3 linked regions of the Arabidopsis thaliana genome follow. The protein of the gene in region 1 interacts with the protein of each later gene in a pairwise test. Each region holds a gene or a part of one and is shown on either strand. Other genes may lie near its edges. The genes, in order: RPA2, DML1 and RPA1A.

Evidence for each region.
Region 2: the proteins of RPA2 (region 1) and DML1 interact in a two-hybrid assay, tested with the Arabidopsis thaliana proteins (one study listed by BioGRID).
Region 3: the proteins of RPA2 (region 1) and RPA1A interact in a two-hybrid assay, tested with the Arabidopsis thaliana proteins (one study listed by BioGRID).

Annotation. Positions count from the first base shown.
Region 1 is NC_003071.7:10,396,803-10,402,504, reverse strand, and holds RPA2 (replicon protein A2), read left to right. Parts: upstream 1-2,006; 5' UTR 2,007-2,088; coding exon 2,089-2,193; intron 2,194-2,336; coding exon 2,337-2,447; intron 2,448-2,542; coding exon 2,543-2,643; intron 2,644-2,748; coding exon 2,749-2,790; intron 2,791-2,878; coding exon 2,879-2,956; intron 2,957-3,078; coding exon 3,079-3,157; intron 3,158-3,246; coding exon 3,247-3,333; intron 3,334-3,431; coding exon 3,432-3,517; intron 3,518-3,595; coding exon 3,596-3,664; intron 3,665-3,772; coding exon 3,773-3,854; 3' UTR 3,855-4,035; exon of another isoform or gene 4,036-4,101; intron 4,102-4,320; coding exon of another isoform or gene 4,321-4,917; 3' UTR 4,918-5,128; downstream 5,129-5,702. Other genes in the region: FZF (Zinc finger protein 622), read left to right, coding at 1-462, 540-709, 797-1,006, 1,090-1,246; AT2G24480 (Zinc finger, C3HC4 type (RING finger) family protein), read right to left, coding at 4,321-4,917. UniProt on the Arabidopsis thaliana protein: Component of the replication protein A complex (RPA) required for DNA recombination, repair and replication. The activity of RPA is mediated by single-stranded DNA binding and protein interactions. Required fo cell division in meristems.
Region 2 is NC_003071.7:15,308,700-15,316,592, forward strand, and holds the start of DML1 (demeter-like 1), read right to left. Parts: upstream 6,109-7,893; 5' UTR 5,899-6,108; intron 5,657-5,898; 5' UTR 5,574-5,656; coding exon 5,440-5,573; intron 5,357-5,439; coding exon 5,241-5,356; intron 5,139-5,240; coding exon 4,008-5,138; intron 3,915-4,007; coding exon 3,543-3,914; intron 3,438-3,542; coding exon 3,347-3,437; intron 3,254-3,346; coding exon 2,356-3,253; intron 2,282-2,355; coding exon 2,202-2,281; intron 2,080-2,201; coding exon 1,995-2,079; intron 1,918-1,994; coding exon 1,826-1,917; intron 1,750-1,825; coding exon 1,681-1,749; intron 1,592-1,680; coding exon 1,555-1,591; intron 1,471-1,554; coding exon 1,388-1,470; intron 1,230-1,387; coding exon 804-1,229; intron 602-803; coding exon 565-601; intron 474-564; coding exon 416-473; intron 343-415; coding exon 203-342; intron 124-202; coding exon 58-123; intron 1-57. UniProt on the Arabidopsis thaliana protein: Bifunctional DNA glycosylase/lyase, which excises 5-methylcytosine (5-meC) and 5-hydroxymethylcytosine (5-hmeC), leaving an apyrimidinic (AP) site that is subsequently incised by the lyase activity.
Region 3 is NC_003071.7:2,582,973-2,588,290, forward strand, and holds RPA1A (replication protein A 1A), read left to right. Parts: upstream 1-2,011; 5' UTR 2,012-2,122; intron 2,123-2,210; 5' UTR 2,211-2,242; coding exon 2,243-2,514; intron 2,515-2,978; coding exon 2,979-4,629; 3' UTR 4,630-4,714; downstream 4,715-5,318. Other genes in the region: AT2G06500 (hAT family dimerization domain-containing protein), read right to left, coding at 1-178, 208-251; PSBX (photosystem II subunit X), read right to left, coding at 4,896-5,246. UniProt on the Arabidopsis thaliana protein: Component of the replication protein A complex (RPA) required for DNA recombination, repair and replication. The activity of RPA is mediated by single-stranded DNA binding and protein interactions.

The sequences.
Region 1 (5,702 bases):
GCACCGATGCTTTATAGTTGTGGAATCTGTAACAAAGGTTACAGGAGTTCCAAGGCTCATGAGCAGCATCTTAAGTCGAAGAGTCATGTTTTGAAGGCTTCGACGAGTACTGGAGAGGAGGATAAAGCGATCATCAAGCAGCTTCCGCCTCGTCGTGTTGAGAAGAATAACACTGCTCAATTGAAGGGTTCGATTGAGGAGGAAGAGAGTGAAGATGAATGGATTGAGGTTGATTCGGATGAGGATTTGGATGCGGAAATGAATGAGGATGGTGAAGAAGAAGATATGGATGAAGATGGTATTGAATTTGAGTTGGATCCGGCTTGTTGTTTGATGTGTGATAAGAAGCATAAGACTATAGAGAAATGTATGGTTCATATGCATAAGTTTCATGGGTTCTTCATTCCTGATATTGAGTACTTGAAGGATCCTAAAGGGTTTCTGACCTACCTCGGTCTAAAGGTTTGTGCTTTGTGCTTAGTCTGTCTTAGATCTTTGTTTTTCTTTGCTACTTAGTACTTACATGGTTGTTGTTTCAGGTCAAGAGAGACTTCGTGTGTCTGTACTGCAATGAATTGTGCCATCCATTTAGTAGTTTGGAAGCTGTTCGTAAGCATATGGACGCCAAAGGTCATTGCAAAGTGCATTATGGTGATGGTGGTGATGAAGAAGATGCAGAACTTGAAGAGTTCTATGACTACAGCAGCAGGTTCCATTTCTTCTGCTTTCTCCTCTGTTGTTGGTGTCTAAATGTGCTTGAACTAATTGTGTCTTCTTTTGATGTGTGTTTGTACAGCTATGTCAATGGAGACGAAAATCAGATGGTTGTGTCCGGTGAGTCAGTGAACACTGTAGAGCTTTTTGGTGGGTCTGAGCTTGTGATCACCAAGAGAACCGATAACAAAGTAACGTCTAGGACTCTTGGGTCTCGAGAATTCATGCGCTACTACAAACAGAAGCCAGCACCGTCTTCTCAGAAGCATATTGTCAACTCTCTAACCTCCAGGTTTGTCTTTAACCGATCAGAGATCATTTATCACTGTCTCTGTGTAGAATTTGAATCTGACGTGAATGGGTCTTAAAACACAGGTACAAGATGATGGGTCTAGCAACAGTGCAGTCAAAGGAGGCCATAGTGAGGATGAAGGTGATGAGAGAGATGAACAAAAGAGGAGCGAAAAGCAGTGTCAGGCTCGGAATGAAGAGCAACGTCATCAGGAATCTGCCCAACAATGTCACCTATTAGTCTTGCTCCTCGATTTTCAGGTCTCTCCTCTTTGTTTGATTTTGTGACCAGAGTTTTGGTGAGTAAATCTATCTAAGTTTTTCACTAGTACTCAAGTATCTTAGGCCCATTTGGGTCTCTGTTTTGTCTGATTTAGTCTTTTGAAAATGTTACGTTTTGGCTGAGTTTGTATCTCTTGCCCAGTGCTTTGTACACTCTACATTAATCTATATTTCATTTGGTAGAAGATCAAGAGCTAATCAATCTTTATCTGCTAAATCATAAATCTAGTACACTTTTCACTTATCTATACATTTGTTTTAGATAACGAATGCTCTCGACTTCACTTTCTCTAGCTATCTTGATAAATTGTATAAAGGTAAATGCACAGGTCGATTTACGAGTTCCTCACAAACCGCGAGTAAATCTCGACACGAATATCTTGCATCATCCACTATATCTCTTTATTATTTATCACTCTATTGCTCTCTCTTACAGGCACTACTGTTTCAAAAGAGAGAGGAACAAGTTTAAAGCCTAACTCTTTCCAAAGTCCAACAGCCCAACTTCACAGGAGCCCATCGAAATCATAAGTCTTCTAAACCGGAAAGCTTTTGAGTCGAATAAACTGAACTGAGAGTAAACCGGAGAACTGAATTTATTAAAAAGTAATTATATTATAGATTTACCTCGCCCTAATTGGCGGGAAGCTCTAATCAAAATTGGAGGGAAAATCCCCCAAAAATTCTTTCGTCGCTATTAAAATTCCCCCAAAATCTTCTCTTCCCTTTACTTTGATCACTTTTCAACTTCCTAAATCTCTTCACAGTTACTTTCGATTTTCCGATTTCGTAGCTTCGAAAATGTTCTCCAGCAGCCAATTCGAGCCTAATTCCGGCTTCTCCGGCGGCGGATTCATGTCTTCTCAACCTTCTCAAGCCTACGAATCCTCCTCCTCCACCGCTAAGGTAATATAATCCATCTTCCATTTCGTTCAATTCCACCGATTAGGCTACAGATCGAAAGTTTCCGAATCGCTAAACGTTTCTCTGTAACAATCGATTTTGGAATTGCTAAATCTGCTCTGTATATGTTTTGTGGGAATATGCAGAATCGTGATTTTCAAGGTCTTGTTCCAGTGACGGTGAAGCAAATCACCGAATGTTTCCAATCCAGTGGTGAAAAATCTGGTCTCGTCATCAATGGAATCTCACTAACAAACGTAAATACCATTTCTAGATCTCTTTGTTTATTACCGTTATTCGTCAATATGGTCAAACTTTTACTCAATTGTGTGATGTTTTTGGTATAATTCAGGTTTCACTTGTTGGATTAGTGTGTGACAAAGATGAATCTAAAGTCACAGAAGTTAGATTCACTCTTGATGATGGAACAGGACGAATTGACTGTAAAAGATGGTAAATACTCGGAAACTTTACCTTTTGATAGATGCAAGAGTTGTTTTTCGGTGCAGTGGTTAGTTTATGAAGTTTGTAATTGGTGTTGTTGTGCCTTTCTTATAGGGTGAGTGAAACTTTCGACGCTAGAGAAATGGAGTCTGTGCGGTTAGTATCTTTGGTTTTTGTTTGATTTATGTGGTGAGATCACATTTTTGGTTTTGGATGTGTTTTCTAATTGTTAGCTGTGAAACAGAGATGGAACTTATGTGCGCCTCAGTGGTCATTTGAAGACTTTTCAGGGCAAAACTCAGCTTCTTGTTTTCTCTGTGAGGTATGTTTTGTATTTTTGGTTGTGAAATGCTTTTGATTCCGTTACCATTGGCAATAGACGTTGGTATGTTCTGTATAAGCTTTGTTAGATATTTATATGAAATCGTCTGTTTTGTGTTGCAGGCCTATTATGGACTTCAATGAGGTTACTTTTCACTACATTGAGTGTATACACTTCTACTCCCAGAACTCTGAATCACAGGTAAAGAAAATGCAATATAGCAAAAGATAAATTGTGTTGTTCACAATTTGCAATCGAACCTCCCTCTCTGACTTGTGCTTTCTCAATAGAGACAACAAGTCGGTGATGTCACTCAGTCAGTTAACACCACATTTCAAGGTGGATCAAACACAAACCAGGCAACACTATTGAACCCTGTATGATGAATTCACCAAGTTTTTTTTTTTTTGGTTTTCTTCATGACATTTGTTTCTGTACTTAGAAATAGAATCTCATTATTGTTGCTCGTTTTTAGGTGGTTTCTTCTCAAAACAATGATGGCAATGGGCGCAAGAACTTGGATGATATGATTCTAGACTATCTAAAGCAACCTGCTTGCACGTGAGTTTGAATTTTCTCATTGCTGCCCCCATTGCTCCACTTAAAAAACTGGTCTAATAATAGTTCTGTTCACTGCAGTGCAAGACAACAGGGGATACATATCGATGAAATTGCTCAGCAGTTGAAGATCCCAAAAAACAAGCTAGAGTATGCTTTTTTTCTTTCTTTCTCCTTATAACATCTATCTCTCTTTATTACATTCAGAGTTGTTGAGCTCATGAGTTTGCTTTGTTTTTTTTACTGATGTGTTTATAGGGGCGTTGTTCAATCACTGGAAGGAGATGGTCTAATATACTCGACAATCGATGAGTATCACTTCAAGCACGTGGAGCTTTGATCTATCTAATAGTCATCTAGAGTTTGGTTAATCCGTAGATAGAGTCATTAGTATTGTCTGGTGATTTAAAAGATGTTTCAATATCCAGAACTATTAGGATCACGTCTAGTTCACTTCTGAAACTTTGGTAGTGTCATGCTTAATTCTGGTGTTGGATTGTTTCCTTGTTTCTTTCAATTTGGTAAGCCAACTTCAAAAGTTCAAAGTTGATTTTTTGTTTAATCTGAAACTATATTTGGTTTAAGACAGCGTTTTGTGTTGCAATGTCGCATACTAGAATCAAACTTGTAAATGAAACTGCAATTACATGTTACCAACAAAAACAGATACATAAACTCTGAAAACCCTAATTTGCCTCTAGACAAAACAATGAAACATAAAAGTGAAAACCCTAAACACACTTCCGAAACAAGCTAAGTTTACAAAGTCACTAAAGACCACAAAATAAAACCCTAATTAGACTCTGCTATTTGTCAACAGGTTTGCGACAGAGAGGGCAAGAGTTATTATGACCAATCACCCACTTGGTGACACATCCTTCATGATAACAATGCTTACAATAAGGCATCTGGCAATAATTCTCAGATCTCGACATATTCTCCAAACAGATTGCACAAGTCTCCGATTCTTCTTCTTGGTCCACATCTGTTGCTGACGGAGAAGAAATACAAGGGACAACACTGTATACCTTTTGAGTCAATTTGACAGAGACAATCATGAATAAAGGTTGTTGTTGTGAGTAAAAACTTTGACTTCTTTGTCGTTGGGCTTCGACAATCTTAGAAGATATCTGTTCGGACATGACATGATCGTGGAGTTGGCTTTGGAGACGGTGAAAGACGTCGTTTGGTTTAAAACATGGTAGTTTCAGAGAGATTAGTGGGTCGTGGCAAGAAGAATCAGGGTAAGAACCGAGACTCGTGACACTATCATCTTTCTCTTTAATGAGAAATTCCTCGACTTCTCTATGTAGACTGATTACTACGGTGCTTAAGAACCCTAATGACCGACCTTGAGACCAAGCCTGAACATGAACATCGAGTTTGAATGATTCAGTATCCATTCTCGTAGTGAAAATTAGACAAAAAATCAGAGAGAAAGATGATTCGTAAAAGATTAGATGAGAGAGGAGATTGTAGTGAAATCTGAAATTGTGGAGAAGTGAATGTGTAATGTTATGTTTATATAAGCAAAACTCTGATTATAATTGTTCGAACGCGTTAATTGTAATTTCCTTTCTTTATTCTAACCGTTAATGTAATTTCCTTTTCTCCATATTACCTTGTTTCCTTTTTTTCTTGTTGGTAAAACATCTCGTTATACCAGAGTGCTTAAACCAAACCATTTTTCCTATTGTAATTTGCCGGTTTATATTGTGTTGTTTGATTTTCCTCAAATACTTTAACTAATAACCAAAATATATATATATATATATATATTTTTTTTTGGATAACCCAGGTATCCCAAGCCCAATGGGCCCAGACTAGCCCACTGCGTGCGTCCCGAAGACGGCAAGAGTAGTTCTTCAAATACTTTAACTAATAACCAAAATATATTTTGTTACAATAATAAAGAGATTGTTAGATAAATTGTGATATTTCACAATCTCTTTGATTTTTTTTTTTTTTTTCTGGTTATCATCATGTTGATGTGCTAATTGTGTTATATGTTACTTGGGAGCAACCTAATATTTTATCAAATGCTTTTTAAAGACCTCTATAGTATTCATGTTTTCTCTGACTTAAGCTGGCAAAAACATATTTCAAGTGAAAAGTTGCTTTTCGTGTAGAAAATTGGATTATCCAAAACGCTAATGTGTTCAACATACTTGAAAAGAGTGGTTTATGT
Region 2 (7,893 bases), 4.9 Mb from region 1:
GTTTCAATGCAAATAATTAAAATGAAAGAGTTGGAGTTATTGGAGTTCAAGTCTTACCTCATTTACTTGAAAGTACGTTCCATTTAGAGGAAAACTACCCCTCATCGCTGTTCTACAAGGAATCTGTACAATTTACAACATATTAATCTGTAGAAAACATAAGTGTAGTAAGCCGCATAAGGAGATTGATGCAACTACTTACCAAAATTGTCCCTCTCACAATTTGAGATCTAGTCTCCTTGATGCTGTTGCAGGAGAAACAAGTCTCCTCGTCACAAAGCATACCATTTGCTTGGAATATGCACGTACTAACAGACGGTTGAATAGAATCAGCCGTCTCACCTGTTGAATAACACATCGATTAAAGATACCGATTTGATTTCATGATTAAAAGATATGCAAATCATTAAATTACCTGGCGTCCATATAGCAAGCAAATAAGAACATGGATCATCAGGTTCTCTCTTTTCCAACTGCCACAAGAAATCACAAACAGCTAGTCAGATTTTACAATATAGACAGCACTCTATACGGCATGTGTCCTTATCCAGTTAGCTCACATACCTGAGCTAGAAGAGGATGCTCGTCTGGAAGTTCGTAACTGCAAGATACGGGAAAAGAAACAAGTTATGGCATAGCCTGTAATTATTGGGAAGTTTGTCTGCTTTCCAACTTACGAGTTCATGCTTGGTCAATCACTTAAATATTCTACTCTGTTCAAGCTTTAATAATTTTGAAAAATGTGTTTCTGATTTCATTTTTAACCTAAGAACGAAGAAAAACAGAGAAAAATGGATTCTTACACTCGGTGTTCTGTCCTTAACTGGCTGATATTCTTGAGCTTAGGCATTGGAAGAGAAGCAGTTTCAGCAGTAAGTGCAACTAAAGCGCTGGACATGTTTCCGTCTTGAAGTTCCTTGTTGTGTTCCATTATCTTCTTCAAGTTACTGGTAAATGCATCCATGTTTAGCCTGATGGTAGGAATTTCTTCTGGATCCTCAAAAAACGCCTCCTCTATGTCAGCTATTGATACTTCTGCGGTTTCTGGCTCCGGTGAAGCAGGCTCTTCGATGATTGGTTCACAACATGTGACCTTTTTTGCTGGTTCTGAGTGCTGTACTACTTCAGACCCTTGCTCTCTCTGGAATGGCTCTGGCAGGTGTAGAGGCAAAGGGTTTTTATCAGGTGTCCCCATACCTTTCTCTGTACTTGGTAAAGCAAGCCTTGCACTGTAAAACAAATGAATGTTACTAAATTTTCTGTAATGATGATTCAGAGCTTCGTTTAGATACAGACCAATTCTCATTTAACTGGGTTATATTTTAACAAGGACTTTCCTCATAGAGTCATAGTGGTACTAAAGGTTTAAGAGAACATGTTGTAGCACCTTGCAAACGCACTGGCAAAATGTCTGCATTCTCCTTTCATCGGACATGCATTGCAATTAGGTTTGCTCTTTGTGCAAAAGACCTGATACAATAATCAAGCAGATTACAAACCTCATCATGTGAGCTGATTTTGACATACGTATATATGTATTTCTTTAATACATACCTTTCCAAAAGTAATCATCTGGTAGTGCAACTCATACCTGTGAGATAATAGGGTATTAAACTAATGAATAAGTGTATTAGACTGAGGCATGAAAAAAAAAAAGTTAGTGATAAACATCATTCTTACAATGTTTTTTGGTCGAGTTTGCAGAGACGGGGCCAAAGATACTTTTGAATAGATTCAAGCATAGGATACCTAGACAAACCAAACCTCAGATGTATTAAGTAACAAATTACAATTTCCAAGTAGGACCATTTTGAAAAGTGCTTACATTTCCAGAAGATGCAACTGAAGTGACTCTGGGAGCGGCTGAAGGGGCACCCATCCAAGTCTGACGGCTATGCGCCCAACATTTGTATCAACCTGTCAATAAATTAAGTTCATGCATCATATAATTCACTTTTTATAGGGACAGAAACAAAAGTTTGATCCTTGCTTACTGGAAAGGCAAGATGGTGAAGTGTTAGAAGCCGCACACACTCCACACTTTTCAGTCCCAATCCGTTAAAGCTCAGAAGATATTCTCTGCAGGGTTTTGTAATATACGAGAGTACATAATTCATTATTAAGTCACTAAAACTGCCAAAGTAGTAATCTTTGTATAGGTTAATAAAGAAGAAATAAAATGCTTCGTCTTTCAAACTTACTTTGCTTTATCTGGTGGAACATCTCTCAACCATTCAAGATCGATACTTCCATGGTCATTTACCAGTCGATCAAGGAAGCCCTGCATGATTTTCATGTTCAGAGTCAAATACTTAAAATGAATGTTATCACGAAATTTAGCCACTAAATTTTTACCTGTATACGTTCTGCAAGTTTATGGTTCATCCCGCGACTCTTGATTGTTTCAGCAACTTCCTTAACATCTGCTGCTCGTATTGCCTTCCAATCCACGGTGTCCATTGTACTTCTTGTTTTTTCTCTAATTCCTGCTCTAGCTTGGGCTTCTCTTCTTAAACAATCCCAGTCAAACGCTTTTTTTTCCTCCTTCAAAACCTTTTTCCCTTTTTCTTTTAAGGTAGGTTTCTGACAACTCAAAACATCCCCATCTTGCTGAGAGCAACAACCAGGTTCACTACTATCAACAGAGGATTTTGTGGGCTCTTTCATTGACTGGAAACCCTTAATTTCTGAGCTACAATCACCCGGAGACATATTTGGTGATACTTGATTGGAATCTTCTAGAGAGACTTGTACCCCCTGTAGGAGCTTCATAAAGGAAGTACGATACTCTCCTTCTAAGTCGATCTCTGAGCTTGATCCTGCTCTCTCTGTATTTTGAGGAGCATCAGACACCATCGAATGTTGACATGTAAGTGCAGAATCTTCAGATGGAAACAGGTTCAGGACACGACACTTCTCATCCGTCTTATCAACCTCTACACTTGAGCCTTTTCGATCTGAATCAACATACTCCTTTGAATCCGTGGTTTTGTCAACTGATTCATGGGCTGAGATGGCAATCTCACTACTGCTTCTGGAGGTTTCATTGCTAGGTACATAATCCTTCTCCTCATCAGGCTGTGTATTTTTCAAAGTAACAGAACTGTGATTGTGATCGGGTGGGCTTGACATCGTTTCCTCTGAGTCCAAGTACGTTATTTGAATAGAAGGCATCGAGCTTGTTCCAGCGTCAAAGTTACTGCTCGGTACAAAAGGGACAGGGAACTGGGAAGCCAACGACATGAAAGCCGAACTACAAGGAGTAAAAAACATCAAAGCAAGTTAGTTTTGTGACTTTTTGCTGTCTTGGATTTAGTTTGACATAGAATTATGTAAGAGCTTGTACCTTGAGAGATGGTCTGAAACATTTTGAGTGAGAAATACTCCAACAACAGAATCCACGACGGATCCCTTCCAAGGCGTAAAACGTCGATCCCCTGTTAGAAACCAAAGACCATAACAAGAAGCAGTAGCTGAGACATACTAATTGAAACCATGTGGTTAGAACAGAAACACATAAAAGGACAAGTGTGGTGTATAACCTTGTACAAGGTGCATCCTTGCAATAAATGAGTCAGCTCGTCCTCGAAACACATTACGTTCTTCCTCCCACCATTTCGCCTTCTGCTCGTCTGATCCGTCAACACCTTCGCTATTAATATTCTCCAATAGCAGTTTCCACACTCTGTCTGTCTCATCGTCTAGATCAACCTTTGGTCGTGGGCGTGGTTTTTTAACAGGAGTTACAGGCACAATTGCTCCAGCGCCACCACCAAAGAGTACAATCTGGCTATTCATTGTGTAAGGAACGAGAGCAGTTTCAGAATGCTCCCTGTTGATGTCTAATAGACGCAATAGCTCACTGATTGTTTCGATCGAGTTACGTCGTTTCCAAAGTTCATCTGGAGAAAGACCTGCAGGAATCAAACATCATCATTATCAAGAAATAGTCTGCATTTAACAGATTCAAAAAAACAAAGAAATATAGTTCTGTATCTATTCATTACCAGTAAATGAAGGTGGAAAACGGCAAAGATTCGGAAGAAGATTTTTCTGTTTGGTTTGTGATTTCTCAGACTTGGTTGGCTTCTTTTTGCTCACAGTCACCCGCGTATCAACAAGAATCTTATTATTTTGCTGTGGCTTGCTACAATATCCTGAGGTTAAATGCTCAGGAACTTCCACAAGTTTATTCATTGAAGACAAATTCCGGAATCGAGCATGGCCTGTTGTTTTCTTCTTGATCGGCGTGTCTATCTTATCCGAGAGAACATTTAGCTCAGACTCTTGCCTTCCTTGAAAGATACCTTCTCGTCTTTCTTCAACGGTTAGGACTCTATTAGCACTGAGCTGAGATGTGGAACTGTAGCACGTAGCGTGAAAGGCAGAAACATAATTGTGCTGTTGTCCAGAGAATACTTTGCTGCAAATGGCATCATATCTCATCCCTCCCTGTTGCAAGTTTGGGGAATACAACCAATGCATTTTCTGGTAGTCACATTGCTCATCATACTGAATCCCTGATAGATTCATGTCGCAACAAGTTGGTCCTTGTCTTCTCTTTGCAGCTTGCGCCATCGAAATATCGACTTCTTCTAGATTACTGCCATTTTTCTTTGGTTGAACTCCCTTTCTTTTACCTTGGCTGCGCTTTCTCTTGGGCGTGCTAGGAGCCGAAAGAAGGCAATCTTTTAACTCTTGATTCCCAGAATCTAACTGCTTCTCTTGAAGAGCTGATTCCATCTCACCTGCTTCTCTAATGTCACCGTTGGTCTGGTTTTCTCCATTTTCGGCTTCAAAATCCAAGACTCGTCTACAGAGCCTCTTAGGACGAGTTGAAGTTTCAACAGCTGCTGATGATTCAACCGGAGTAGCGTCTTGATCCTTACTGACTTCAACCTTCTTCCGCACATATTTCCTCTTTGGTGTTTTGCTTTCTTGACCATCGGTGACAACAGACTTCCTCGGAGCTCGTGGTTTAGGCTCCCTCTTGGGTTTAGCTTCTCTACGAACCTTTGGCCGATGCTTCTTCCTCTTAGGTTTTTCAGGAGTCTTGAGGATCTGTTCAGCAACATTGTTACTCACTGAGCTCAAACTCTCCACTTCTTCAGTACCTTTTTGCATAACCTCTGTGTTTCCTACATTGAGAATCACATCTTTCTCAGTCCAACTCAAACAGAATCAAAATTTGACAAAGCGATTTCATTTCTCATGAGACCAGAATCAAAATCCCCTCTTACTTGTAGGTATTGGAGTCTGACCAGAGAATATGAGGGATGCAGTGTTAGCTAGAGCAAGCAAATCCCCAAAAGACAAGTGATCAAGACCACTCATATCCTTGTTCCCAACAAATCTCCTGCATGCATCAATACCTTACTTAACCAATTACCCATCACTACTCTTTGAAATTTCTCAACTTTAGAACAAAAAAGCACAAACCTTTCCTCCAATTGACTGCTATGATATTGATCCTCCACCGTGTATGGGCAGATCGGTGAAAATGGCTTCATGGGTGTCTGAGGAATCCATGGAGGTTGTTGAAAGCTGCTTTCTTCTCTCCTCTGTTTCTCCATTTCTGACTCTATTTTTACTTTTCTTCACTCTTACTTAAATCAGAACCATTTGAGAAAAAGCTTGGAACTTTCTATTTTTTCCACTGCAAAAAGTTCAATAATTTCTTCAATAAAAGAGATCACCAATTTTTTTTAAAAATCACGATTTTATAAAATGATCAGATCCACTTTTTTCTGGGGTTTTAGAGAAAGAGAGATCTCCGGAAGTCATTGATTTTGGGTGAGTGGCGACATGAACGATTAATCCGTTCGTTAGGTGAAAGAGAGACTTTTTAGATTCACAACAAAATGTAAAAAAAAGTAAGAAAAAAACAAAATTCATTACCAGTAGAATCAATGGTTATGGTGGTGATGGAGAGAGTTAGTTCGGTGGTAGCTATGAGAGGATAAGATCACTGATGCTTCGTTTCTTCTCTTGGAATCGATGAAGTTAAAGAGTAATATAGAAAAAGCTTTTTTGGCCTAACGTATAAAGAAGAGGATATAACATGTGTTGTTGTGTGTTTCACTATTTTTCATAACCGTTTGTTTATGTAGGGCGAAAGTTCGTTTGGTTGGCGGGAAAAGTTTTACGGAATTTTATTTTAAAAATAATGATTCTTTTCTACAAAATCTCCTAGACTATGGGAAAGATGATTTAAAAAGTTAATAATATTGTCGTTGTTATCGTCATCGTCATCATCGTCTTTTCTGTTATCTTTTTCTCTTTAAAATTTCGTATTTTTTCTCGTTTACGTAACTATTTAAAATTATATGAACTAACTAATTTTATAATTAATAGAAATTATAAAATAATCTTAATTTTGCTTTAGATATAAAATAATTAGAACTTTATTTATAAATTTATCATCAAATTATGATTTAAACAAATAACATGTTATGTAATCCACGTTTATAATTTTGATCAATAATATATTATTTTGCTAATTTTTACGTAATCTCATAAATTTACACGTTTTCGTTTACATATGCAGAAGTTAAATGATTCGTTTTAGAATTATTATTTTCCACTGATATGGGAGCTAGTGTAGTAGAGTGATTATTAGGCTAGTTGCCCAACGAGTCTTTCGTTTTTGATCATTCCAAATGTTTTAGTCTAGTACGATAGGAGTCAAAATACTGCACCATATGTGTGAAACTGTGAATGTGTGTGAAAAAAAGAGTAATTAGTGTGCTAACCTTTGATTTCCTGTCATGCAAGAAACCTTCAAAGAGACGTACATGAGAAATGAGTATTGTAAATCATTTATTTCATGGACTTGGTTGGAATCTTAGTGAATCGTTGTTGTCAATCTTAACAACTTGTTGGATTGGTTATGAGCCTATGACTTATGACTTATGAGTGAGTCAATGGTGGTCATAACCTAATGATTGGGTTATGAGCAAAGAAATTTGGAATTTGTAAAAAAAAAAAAAAAAATCAAGAGCTTTTTTGTGTGGACATATCTATCCTAGAAACTGAGACGAATAATAGTGGATAAAAAGTTGGGAACGGATTATTCGAATGTTTAAAACTATTATTGAAAACAATACAACTAAATATGGTACAAAAGTAAACGAATTCGTATAGCTAAACCTAATTCAAATTACGAAGCTAATCCATACTTGGATCCTAAACGCTTTTACTTTTACTTACGGTTTCTTTTTCAAAAAAGTTTTTACAAATTTGGGTTTGTCTTATGAAGATTATGGCAGAAGAGACTGATCAAAAGTGAATGCCTAATTCGGTTTAATCCATTCAAGTTTATCTTAAACAATGAAACTGACCATGAAAGTGAATTCAAAGACCAAATCAAAGAAAAATTAAACTGATTTAGTTGTAATATTGGTATTGAATTAAACTATAAATAGAAATAACCAAACATATAACCACAAAAGAAGACTATTTATATAAATATATGAGTTGGAAGTCATTTTTGGACTATTATATAAGATCTAATTATCACACGACGTGTGGATGTATGGTTAGCAGAGTTGTGTTCAGAGAGTTCGATAAAGCCATCACTCCAAACATACAAAATATCCATACATTGATCCACCAATATAACCGGCTGTGTGCCAAGCAAAGTGAAGCTTAGGCCTAACTAGGGTTCTCAAAAGTTCAAAATATAAAAAATATTTTGGCGTCGACCTTAAAGTCCTTGCTTCATCGACTATAGTCTAAAGCCGGCATGCCTAAAAACCTCATATAAATCGTCGCTTGTTACTCGATCATACTCTGTAACTATAAATATCCTGATCTTAATTATAACTTGAAATACTACTAATCTACGAATCTATCATGTAACCTGTTTACTAGTTTTTATTTAATATAATCAAG
Region 3 (5,318 bases), 7.8 Mb from region 1:
AACTTCAGCTTGTTCTTGTTGTTTATTCTCAAATTCATTCTCATCCACTTGAACCACTTCATCCAAATTGTCCACTTTATTCTCTGGATCCACTTCATCAGCTCGTTCTTGTTGGTTATTGTTTCCATCAGAATTAATGACTTCAGAAATTGTAGGATTTTCAGGTTTTTTCATGTACCTAAGAAGAGAATTAGCCTGTGATCTTACCAACTCTTCTCGTCTCTTTTGCAATTTTCTTTTATCACATCCATGAGGTTCCTTTTTGATCCCTAAAGGAGGCATCGTTCAAAGTCTCAACTCAACGCTCTAACGTACGTCGGTCGCTTGCTTCTTCACGGCAGATGGAATTAATCAGATTTTTAATGGAGGAAACCTAGAATAAGAGAATTGGTTGATGGGCTTTAGAAGTCTTGGGTTGAAAATCAGATTTTTTCTTCTCAACTCTCTTTTAATTAAGCCTCGTTGGACTTTAAAATTTTTGGGCCCTAAGCCACCGCTTATATCGCTTACGTCACGGGCCGGCCCTGCATGATTGTCTCAATCTATTTCTCATATGGTTGGTTGGTTGGTAATTTCAAAATTTCTGATGATAACTTGATTTGTTTGATAATTGCCAGGTTTTAGCTTGTTATCAAAATTGTGTCTATGAATTGGCTAATCTAATAAATTACTTGGGTTCTGTTTCTTTTTTGTTTACCTTTTTGATTATTGACGATCATATTTGGTTTTGTTTTTCATCGATTTTGTTTTCATCATGTAGTCTTTTCAATTTGTTCCTTTTTTGCAGTCGACTCTGTCAGCTGTAACCAAAATTGAAATCAAAACTAAGGTTCATGATCACTTATTCTTTTTCATCCTTTTGGAATTTTGGTTAATATGTGGTGAGATTCATGTAAATTAGTTTTTTTGGTTCTTGTTGTTGTTGTGTAGTGAAAGCTAGTACAGATGATGTGTTTTATGAGCTTCAAAACCCTAGAGAGCAGATCCAAGCTTATGTGTTTAATGGTAACTTTTTGCTTCTTTCTTGATATTTTTGTTGTTGTTGAAGAATTAGCTCTGTTTACGATTCTTGATTTGTTCTTGTATGTTTTTTTTTTTTAAACATAGTGGTTAGAGCTTTGGTGCCAATGATGACGCTAGATGCTCTTTTGAACAAAAGTGAGAAGTTGCTAAGTCTGTTCTTGAGTAATTTGAGAAGGTATAACATGTTGTTCATTCGAAATCTCATTCTATTGAGAGATTCTTTTGAGAGATTCTTGATATTTTATAGTGATTAAACATTTGTTGAGCTAATTAATTTGTTGGTTTTGAATCTAATTTTTTTCTTTTTTTTAAAAACCCCAAATTAATATACTACTATTAATCATGCCAAAAATTAAAACTCTTACCAAACTCTTAACTACAAATTTTCAATATCAATTAATAAAAATATTGCTAAGAGTCATTGCTAATAGCCTCCCATTGTGGATGCTCTAAGAGCATCATTATTGGGGATTGCTTAGATTATTCTTAGGGTAGTTCATAGGTATATATATAATTAATTTTGAAATCTTTTATGTTAAGAGTTTGGTTAAGAAATTATAATTTTGGTAATATGCAATGGTGAGTTCTTAGCTTTGAGTTCTTAAGAAGAAAAAAAAATATTTAAAAATAAAAACATTTTAATTTTAAAGACTTTAATAATGATTACAACATAAATTTTGAAAACATTTAACAATGTAGTTAATATTTTACACTCACCCAATAAAAACTTGACACATGTCTAGCTCTTAGATTTAATTTTTGCTCTTATATAAGAGCAATTCTTACCAAAGAAATCAATTAAAACATTAAATTTCTAATCTAATTAACATAAGAACTAGTCTGAGCTTACCAATAAGGATGTTCTAAGGGGTTCTATAGTCTTTCTCTCTTTCGAGAATTTAATCCAAGTCGTTCACAGTTACGAGTCGAGGGTAAATTAGTAGTTTTACACTGAAATATCAACCAAAAAATTTCAAAATTGAAAAATCTCCATAAACTGTTTTGCGACCCAAAACAACATCTTTTAAGCTTCTCCCGCAAAATTCAGCAAAGCTTTCGGAGGAATCTCCTAACAGTCACCACCACCACCACCGTCTAGGTCAAATCTCGTCTTCCTCACGCTCTATTTCTCCATAGAATATTTCCTAACTCCTCCTCCGGTTTATCGATTTTTTCAATTTTTCTAGGGTTTCGCGCCGGGATCTAAAAAATCACAATCATGCCGGTGAGTTTGACTCCGAACGCAATCACGGCGATACATGACGGCGACGTGAATTTGAAGCCGTTGTTACAGGTTTTAGAAATCAAAATGATAGGAAGAAGTCAAGAGAGAAGCCAGGAGAGGTATCGTTTCCTCATTTCAGATGGTGTTTCTGCTCAACATGCTATGGTCGCGGTTCAGCTTAATGATCGAGTCAAGTCAGGACAATTTGAGAAAGGATCTATCGTTCAGCTGATTGATTACATTTGTAGCGACGTTAAAGGCCGCAAGTAATTTTTCCATTTTCTCTCTGGTTAGATCTAGTTTTCGTTGTGTTGAATTGCTTAGTTTTCTAGTGATCTCTGATTTGTTGCTTAGTAATGTTTCTGAGTATTCGTGGCTATGTATTTGGTTTAGTATGTGTAAGGCATTTGTTACAATGAGTTTGCAGAAGCAATGATAGCTTCGCTTTTGGTAGAGACCTTTCAATGAGGTTTCGTGTATTGATGAATGATTTTGGTTAACATGTACTAGTGGGAAAGATTTGTGTTGTTGTCTTTGTAGTTCATGGTATTTAATGGTTGGTAGGCAGATGTTAAGGACAACATTTAGGATGATAATGGAGATGATTTTGTTGATTGTGTGAGTTGGAAAATATAGTTACACAATTGTTTTGGTTGAACATGACATATTTGAAGGAGTTTTGCTCTCTTTGATTGTGATTTTCTTATGGATTTATTCATACTGTGTACAGGCTTATTGTGGTGCTGAACATGGAGACGATAGTACAACAGTCTGAAACCATTGGGAACCCTACAATATTTGGAGAAACAGATACAGAAGCCCAGAAGACATTTTCAGGTACGGGCAATATACCGCCTCCGAACAGGGTTGTTTTTAATGAACCAATGGTTCAGCATTCTGTTAATAGAGCACCTCCCAGGGGTGTAAACATTCAAAATCAAGCCAACAATACTCCAAGCTTCAGGCCATCTGTTCAACCTTCATATCAACCGCCTGCAAGTTACAGAAATCATGGACCCATCATGAAGAACGAGGCTCCAGCTCGAGTCATCCCTATTGCTGCTCTCAATCCATACCAAGGTCGATGGGCTATTAAGGCTAGAGTAACTGCGAAAGGAGATATCAGACGATATAACAATGCAAAAGGAGATGGAAAGGTTTTCTCGTTTGATCTGCTTGACTATGATGGAGGGGAGATTCGGGTTACGTGCTTTAATGCTCTTGTTGACCGTTTCTATGATGTTACTGAGGTTGGTAAGGTATATTTGATTTCAAAGGGAAGTTTGAAGCCTGCACAGAAAAATTTCAACCACTTAAAGAATGAATGGGAAATTTTCTTGGAGTCAACATCGACTGTGGAGCTTTGCCCTGATGAAGATGGCTCCATACCAAAGCAGCAATTCTCCTTCCGCCCAATAAGTGACATTGAGAACGCTGAGAACAATACCATACTCGATGTCATTGGTGTGGTGACTTCTGTGAACCCCTCGGTGCCAATCTTGAGAAAGAACGGGATGGAAACCCATAGGAGGATCCTGAATCTAAAGGATGAATCAGGAAAGGCTGTAGAGGTAACACTTTGGGGAGAATTCTGTAACCGAGATGGTCGGCAACTGGAAGAGATGGTTGATTCAGCTTTTCACCCGGTTTTAGCAATAAAAGCTGGAAAAGTAAGCGACTTCAGTGGGAAATCAGTAGGGACAATATCTTCAACACAGCTCTTCATAAATCCAGATTTCCCTGAAGCTCATAAACTACGGACCTGGTTCGATTACGGGGGAAAAGACACTGCTTCCTTCTCCATCTCCAGGGACACTATGCCTGGAGGAGTTTCCAGGAACGAGATAAGGAAAAATGTTTCTCAGATCAAAGAGGAAGGTCTTGGAAGATCAGATAAGCCTGACTGGATCACTGTGAAAGCAACCATATCATTCATCAAAACAGATAGCTTCTGTTATACAGCTTGTCCTTTGATGATCGGGGATAAACAATGCAACAAGAAGGTTACACGGTCTGGAACAAACAGGTGGCTCTGTGACCGGTGCAACCAAGAGTCTGATGAATGCGACTATAGATACCTTCTTCAGGTACAGATTCAAGACCACACTGGGTTGACTTGGATAACCGCGTTTCAAGAAACAGGAGAAGAAATAATGGGATGTCCGGCTAAGAAGCTTTACGCAATGAAATACGAATTGGAGAAGGAGGAAGAGTTCGCAGAGATTGTTAGAGACAGACTGTTTCATCAGTACATGTTGAAGCTGAAGATCAAAGAGGAATCGTATGGGGATGAACAAAGAGTGAAGATGACTGTTGTGAAGGTTGATAAGGTGAATTATACATCCGAGAGTAAATACATGCTTGATTTGCTCGTAAGGTAAGTTCGTTCTAGGTATTACAGTGAGGTATTTCAATTAACTCAGAATATGCAAGCTCGAGTTTAGTACACTATTATATTATGAATTGATGAATTCTATTGAATCTTGATTCAATGAAGCTTAGTGTTATGATTTCAAGTCTCAATCGTCTTTCGAATTCAGGAAACAACAAATTTGACTTTTATCCAAAAGTTCATTGCTGCAACATTGAAACGAATACACAGAAGGAGAACAGATTACAATAATGATGTAAGAAAGATATATAGGTCTTAGGTTCTCTTGACAGGGTCAAAGTTGGAGACGCCGACGACGACACCAATGATGACAGTGAGGACGAGGCCACCAGAAGCAATGCTGAGCAAGAAATTCTTGAGGGAAGGAGAGATTCCAGAACCAGCAGCTTCAGCTATCTCCGGAATCACCATCGAAGCAGTAAGAGCAGCCGCGGAGATACCGGTCAAAGCCTTGTCCATCTTGAGGGCCTTAACTTGAAGCCTCTGTGCTCTGCCTCCAGTTGCAACCAAAGCCTTGGATGGTTTCAGAGGTAATGGCTTAAGGAAAGGAGACGAACGGGTCTGGTTAAGTGGTGTGACCAATGACATCGCGGAGGTAGAAGCCATCTCTTCCGATCTCTTTTTGGTCTCTCTAGATTGATCTTTCTGAGATTCTCTTTCGAAATGTGTGAAGTTGCT